Linked DNA regions of Arabidopsis thaliana. The protein of the gene in region 1 interacts with the protein of each later gene in a pairwise test. Each region holds a gene or a part of one and is shown on either strand. Other genes may lie near its edges.

Region 1 (3,932 bases):
AGGATAGTCATATATGATATAAAAAAAAAAGATTGTTGCCAATATGATACATTTCACTGGATTTATAGATTGTGACATCCTTTTACCGACTTATGAACTACATATTTTTGTATTTTGTTGTATCAGTATGTTAGGGGTCCTACGTTGACAACAAAATATTTTCATACGTCTAACAAAGCAAAAAATGTATTTATAATATGTAAACACGTCGATGGTTCGCCGACCTTTCAAACCGAAAGAAGTTGATAGCACTATTATGAAGACCGATTAATTAAGTTTGAATCGGAATTTGAATTCTAAAAAGCCGGTTTATTTAAATGATTAAAATGCAACCTACGTCGTACTTAGTTGATTATAGTTTAATATGTTTATGGTAGTCACAAAAATTGTCTAATTAGTCGCATTTTTATGAATTCTTTTTTCTTTCCTTGTTGGACAAGGGATGCTTAACTATTATTATTCGTAGGGTTTTATGTTCAGAGACAATGTTTCCAAACGATTCATCTACATTTGACAGTAGAAAATCAAAATATCACAACAAAACGTGTGCTTTTTGCTTTGTAGCTAGACTGTGAATTAGCATTTTCTTAAGTTTTATTAATTTTAAAACTGTGAAAGGAAGCTAAAAGTCTAAAACCATATGCCACCAAAATGATCCTATTATAACTTACTGAATTTAAACATGCATTATAAACCATAATTTTGTAATTGATCTAAAAATAAAATAATAATTATTCCTCTTTGAAGTTGTTACGTTTTGGTTTTGGTTTCTTTATGTTAAATTTGATTTGCTTCTCGAAGTTTGAAGACAACTTTTACCTCTAAAATGACTCTTAAATTCTATGTTTTTTGTTGAAAAATATAGTTTGATTCCAATTAAAGTTTAGATATATTGCGATGTATTTTAAATCTAGTTATGATTGATATTAATTTTTTGAATCTAGTTATGGTTGATATTATTTTACTAAGTACATTATTATCATTTCTTTTTACAAACTGTATTCCGACACTTAATTTTCACGGTATGTTTTATAAGAGAAAATATCCGCAAAACATATTACAGAGTAGAATAAATCCTTTCTCCTTTATATTTATATTATTTAATACTTAACTCTATCAAAATATCCTCAACATTTATAAATATGAAAAACAAAATCAGTAGTCAGTGAACATAAAAAAAATTATCGAAAATTTTACGATGAGTAAAGATCCTCTCTTTATTTCTCAAGTAAAGCAATAATCAGAAAAAGCTAAATTGAGTTATCAAAAGCAGTTTATCTAACAAATGTTAATTAACTTTTTCTGGTTTAATATTATTGTTCACTAACCATGCATAATCGTATAACAACAAAAATAATCTCATTGGTACCATTACATCAAATAATAAATAGCGGGAAGATAAACATAGAAAAAGTGATAAAACAATCTGCTTCAAGAAAAAGATACCCCAGTGGACGACTAGGGTCAATGAAAATGAAAACAGAGACAAATGGCAATTCGTAATTATTCACATTTATTTCAGGGTACTTTCGTAAATCCCCAACCTGACCGTTTCTCGAATCTGATTACGTGGCAGTCATCACAAATGCCCACAAAAGCACTTCGCTGAAACTCAATCTCAGTCGTTAGATCAGAATCCAATTCTTTTCAATACGGCAAGTTGAGATCCCCAAACCCATCATGTGTAACCATGGTTAAGTCAATTAACCCAACACATAGAAATCTCCTAAAATCACCAAAAAGGTCACGAACTTTCTCGTTAATTACATAAAATGCCATTCTTCGCTTTAGCTATAAATTCGTCTTCTGAGACTCGCTAGGTTTGCCGAACCAATCACCCTAAGGGGACACTTAAAGAGAGAAACAAATCCTTCTTCTAAAATATTCTTCAATCTTCTTCTCGAAGCTTCTCCAAAAATGGCGATTACTTCTTCTAGAACCACCAGATCAAACGGATCTGCTTCGCTCCGATCCAAATCACCGTCCGGTCGATTCTGTGGCGTTTACTCAAACCGTATGCCGTCATCATCTCCGTCGTCGTCAGGTTTCGCTTCTTCCACAAGCTCAAGTTTCTCCTCACCGTCTACAGCGTTTTTCAGCAGCCACAATCAGAACAACCACCACCAACACAGATCTGCTTCTCCGACGCGTGTGAATCTATTCACATCAGCTCCGATGACGCAATCGTTTCGTTACTCAATCGATAACAGATCTATATCACCGAATCGATCCATCGCTGTTTCTTCCAACAAACCTAGCAATCATCACAAGATTCCGGATTCGAGGAGAAGATGTATGTGCTCTCCGACAACGCATCCTGGTTCATTCCGGTGTAGTCTACACAAGAACGTCGCGAATCCACATGGTCAAGGTACAGCTTCGTATACAACGAATGGATTGAATATGCGTCGATCTGCGATGACGAATTCTCTTGTGAGAATTGGTGGTGTTGAAGGTGAATGGGTGCGAAGAGCTTTGACTACTTTGATTAGACCATCTTCACATCAACTAAAGAGAAGATCTGCTTATGAGCCTCGTCGTAGTAGACTCGCATCTATGTCGAAAGCAGAAGATCTTTGAATCTCTCTTCAGGTTTGTTCTTGTTTTTGATATACTCAGATCTGCCATGAACGAGTTGAATCAAGGAGCAGAATCGGAGCTGAGTCATACCGGACCGAGTCAAATTCGGAGCTGAGTTATACCGGACCGAGTTATGTAAAACGGTGACTAAGACGACACCGTTTTTGTTTTGTTGGGTGGGAGATGAGATGATGATGATGCATTGTACATACACATATTGCTTATTGAAGCAGAACAAAAAAATTTCGCAAGTCGAAAGTATCTAGAAATCTAAAAATGGAAAATAGTAGTGACGAATTGGGTAATTAAAATCTGGAAAAGGACTTAGTAGTAAATATTGTTTGGATTCAACTTTGCAAATCTCTCCATCTCCATTGTTCGTTGCCTTCACCGTTAGTTTGTTCCGTCAAGTCAACGTTCTCTATTCTCCGTCGTTGACCCGTTCTGTTTGCCGTTAACCGTCGTCGTGTGTTATGTGTGTTCCGTTATTATTTCTCCAGGTATGTGTTGTTCGTCGTGTCAGGTATGTATTTTCCGTTTCTTATTTATTTGGTTAATTTCGTTTTACTTTTTTTGTGCACGTTTGATCTGTTTTTTTTTTTTTGGTTTGTCTTTTTCAGGTTTCGTACAATGAGGAGAAGATGATTACTTAACCGTTACGTTCAACTTTGGAATATTTTGGGTTTGTGGACTTTGGAAGAAAAATGAATTTGGACTATGAGAAAAATCAAATATATGACCTAAAACACGGAGAATTTGATAAAGGACGATCGAATATGAGTGATTTTGATTCGTGGAACGATTAAGGTTTTGGTTTTGGAGCTGGAGAATGTGAAAGATTCGAAGGAATCAGATTTTTCTCTGGAATTTGTGAATCACAGATTTAGATTCCTGAAACGGTTGAGGTTAAAGTGAAAAGATTCAATGAAATCATATTTTTACCATAAATATCTCAAGAAGGATATGGTAAATGATGAAATTCGTGAGGGTAAGTTTGGAAAGTAAAAGATTCTTGAACGGTATATATGAGAAAAGGACAGCTGGCCGATGAATTGAGAACAGCCCAACACGATTACGTTGGGGATTCCAACGTCTTCCTTATCTCGAGGGATTAAAGTTGGATTATACTATTGTATGCATAGGTCGATTTTATAGATCCCTTGATTAATTGGTTAATTAAATATAAACTATACTCCTTAGGTTTGCTTTAGTTGACTGATTATATCGTAATCTCTAAGTACTAGGTTCTGTGTAACCTTTTCTTCACGGTAGATGATGGATGCACTTTTTGTTAATTTGGTTTTGATTGTGTTGGATTATTCTGTACTTTCTTTACTCGTTTAGTTTACTTG
Region 2 (3,932 bases), on another chromosome or scaffold:
CGTTTGGTGAGATTTGCTTGAGGAAACGAAGTATCAATGGGAGGTAACCGGAGACCATGGAGCTGATTGGGAGATTCACAGCGATTGCTTCTTTCTCCGATGATCGGAATAAAGACAGTGGCCAATAAGTTGGATTCAAGAGAATCTCCATGTTTAAGAGCTCGATTTCGAAGGAGACACCTGTTTCGCCGGCGAAGCTTCTGAGATTTTCTTCAGTGAATCGGAGCTCGAATTCGTCGGAGACAGTTGAAGGAGAAGCGAAAGCTGTAATCTTTAGCGACGGAGCTGATGAAGATCTGTTTCTTTTTCCGGCGAGCTCTTGAATCAGAGACGCCCATTGACCTCCATAACCGATATCGAAATCGACAATGTGGATCCGATCAAACCCTTCGAATGACTCGAGAATCGTTTGGTTTGCTGTGAAGTTGACGAATTGAAGAAACGGTGACGTTTCTGAGAAAGCTCTGTAAGCTGCGATCCGAAAGATTAGGTTTTGAGGAGGTGAGAGAGACGGTGGTGATAATGATGAGTCTTGAAGGAGAGAGTGAAGAGCTTCTGTTATATACGAAGCTGCTCTGTGGAACGGAGGTTTAGGATTGTTGTTAGTGTCGTCGTTGTTGTTGTTAAGGTTGTGATTGAGCCGCGCCAATATCCCTTGCGCGAGAACGGGATTGTTATCTCCGCCGTTTGTGGTGAGCTCCGCCGCCGCAGAGAATAGCTGGTCGATGATTACCGCTGACTGGTCTTGGTCGTTTTGGTCTTCTCCGGCTATCTTTGGCGGTGTGAGAAACGGGTCGTGAGATTCGTGACCCGGATCCGAGAACGGGAAAACCCACTGGAGGTGTTGAGATCCGGGTTGACCCGAATTGAGCCGTTTCGCAGGAGGAGACGACGGAGGATCCGAGAAGAAACCCGGATTTGGGTTTATTGAAATCTGAAACTTTTCTTCTTCCGGTGCGTTTTGAAAAGGGAAGCCATATCCAAAGAGTGGATTAGGATTATCAATAACCGGGTCGGATCCAGAACCGATGTCGAAACCCACAAACTCCGAACCCGGATCCACTACATCGCCAGCCATGATTAATCTAAAAATACTCTGTTCTTGTCCCGGCGAGCCACCGGAGAGAACACCATCGAGATCCTCGAAACCCATTTGGTCGCATTTCCCATCGGCGCCGGAAAAAGTAGCAGCAGCAGCGCCGCCGCCGCTGGGACCACCGTGAGAAGAAGACAGCGTGGTGGTTGAAGAAGAGACGAAAGGGCTTGGACTTCTAACAGAGTCTAAAACAGACGTCGGCTCCGAGAAACCACCATTGTTGACAACAAAGCAGAGATCTTCTTCTACTCGTCCATGGAGCTTCTCTGGATTAGCCCAGATTTTGTATCCCGGAGAAGAAGAAGAATCTAAGAAACCCAGAACCCCCTTCCCTTGAAATTGCTCAAAGGGCAGGGGCATGACCAATCTTACAGAGTCAGAAAGAGAATTTAAGAGTGAGAACAAAGAAACCCAGAAAAACCCTAGATCTCAGAACTTAAAGAGGAAGACGAAGATGAAAGCTTGAAACTGAAATTGGCGCCCACATTATCTCACACTCGGTATTAATAACAATCTTTCTTCTCGTTGCTTATGTATATTGACTCTGGATGATTCCAACAACATTCCAAAGTGATGATCTTCATAAAAAATGCTCTCTTTTTTTTTTTTTTAAGTAAAGGATTTGGTTTTTGCTGTGTGTGTGGTGCCTTGTGTCTGTAGATTTACTTATCTACATCTGTACTCATTTTATATCCCCTCGTTTCTAACCCTACTCGCACTTACGGCGCGTCACTCTTACTCTCCAAGAGATCATTGATTATATAAGTTTAAGCCATGAAAATCGAAATCAAAGTGTCATTAATCGAATAAATTTAGCCTTAATCATAAATTGACTAAATTACTATGATGACAACATAATAAATAAGGAAAACACTGGATTGAGGAAAAAAAAAACAAGGAAACCAATAAATTTTATGCATATCGACAAAATTACTATTCTACATTTTTCGTAAATTTTGTTCGATTTATAAAATAAACTTGCATCTTGTAAAATAATTTGTTATTTAGTGAAATAGCAATTGGGTGATTTAATATATATGTGCAGTAACATGTTTTATATTAAATAGTATGATAGTAAAAATATACTTCATTATATATGTATAAAAACTAAGTCAAGGGTCAAATGAAAATGAACCAAAAGATTTTTGTTCTTTTTTCTTCAAACCAATAGATTTGTTTACTTAAAGGATGTGTCAAATGTTTGACAAAAAAAAAAGGATGTGTCAAATTTATTTTTGAAATTACAGGTAAAAAACATTTTGAGAGCGAAATCGTAAAAATACTTAAAATAGTCAAAATTATTTACTTATTTATTAAGAATATGGGATCATATAGTGTATAATTCATTAGATCAAACTAAATAAGTAATAGGAGTATGAAGAAAAGAAAGAAAATAAATTGAATTGTCGAAACCCAAAAACCTAAAAGAGTCAGTTATTAGTTGATTGTCTTACAGTAAGTAATTCAATAGTCCAGAACTGTTGAGGCGCGTTAGATAACGATCAATCTGAAAGACAGTACTATTAAAAAAATCAAAAACATATACCGAGGTTTCAGAGCAAAAAGCGAATTTGATACAGATGGCTTTATTGTTAATCATTGTTTTCCATAATTACCCTTGCTTTCTATTAACACACTCTGTTTTTTTTTTTTATCTAACGGTTGAAATTGCATGAACTCTGGAGAAGATCTCATGGCTCTAGTCTAGATTTTTTATAAACTAACTAATAAATGACATATTGACTATAAAATCTTGCATTTGCTAATCAAGTTTAATTTTGAACGACAAGTAGACACGGTCAAAACTAAAATTATGACAAATCTTTAGCCTATGTTAGTTGATGTTTACACGTGTTTGCGATAATCAAATCGTTTTATTCCACCATTCTTTTCTAAAATCATCTATATCATTTCTTCTTCTTTTTTTCACTTCTTTGACAAACTTGAAATACTTAAGTGGCCGTTTATTGGTGGCGGTAATAGAATAGAGGATACCAAAAGGAGATTAAAAAGAAAAGAGGTGGAGCTGGATTGCGAAGACAAGTTGGAACTTTTGGTAGTTTGTGTGTGAATGGAAGGGAGACATGGCTTATGTGATTGCCCTAAACATATTTCTATTTTTTAAGCCAAAATAATATAAAAACAAAAATCTTTGTAATTGGACATTGTAATAATGGGAGACATGTTTTTTTTCCTCCAAGACAAACAAGAAACCTCCATGTGAATTTCCACCACCTTGTAATATGTCTAACAACATGTATTCTATTAAACTAGTATTTCTTTCTGCTTTGTTGTTATATTTTAGGATTAAAAAATGACCAATTTGCGTAATTTAATCAACTCATTCTATACATTCTATAGGTTGATGACTGGCTAGTGGAGGGACACATCGACCGTGTGTTACCTTGCATACATACTCGTGATTCGGTTTCACGGAAATTCATGTAATTTGGTTACAGTGATATAAAACAAGTAAAAAAATTAACTTCGATGTAGAAATATATTAACCCTGTAACCAAATTATCTCAGTTTATGTCAAATGTCATATTTGCAATTCACTTCCACTATGTTTTTAGATTTGCTAATTTCCCAAAATAAACTTAAAGTCCTCAAAATAGACGGTATATAGTCTCCTTTGCTAACCTCGACTCACGGGCAAAGCTTTCTGTTTTCTCTTTATTTAAAGTTTTCAATTTTTATGTTCAGGAATGCTAGTGGGGTTAACTTATGTGAATCATGTCATATCATAATATCTTAATCAAATCACAAACACTAAACAAGGACAATGTAACTTTTTCTTATTCATAACAAAGCATGTCACATTTTGGTTGGTTTA

What was found.
Region 2: the proteins of AT5G25280 (region 1) and HAM2 interact in a two-hybrid assay, tested with the Arabidopsis thaliana proteins (one large-scale study listed by BioGRID).

Annotation. Positions count from the first base shown.
Region 1 is NC_003076.8:8,771,965-8,775,896, forward strand, and holds the start of AT5G25280 (serine-rich protein-like protein), read left to right. Parts: upstream 1-1,824; 5' UTR 1,825-1,917; coding exon 1,918-2,580; 3' UTR 2,581-3,080; exon of another isoform or gene 3,081-3,200; 3' UTR 3,201-3,932.
Region 2 is NC_003074.8:22,410,912-22,414,843, forward strand, and holds the start of HAM2 (GRAS family transcription factor), read right to left. Parts: upstream 1,753-3,932; 5' UTR 1,457-1,752; coding exon 1-1,456.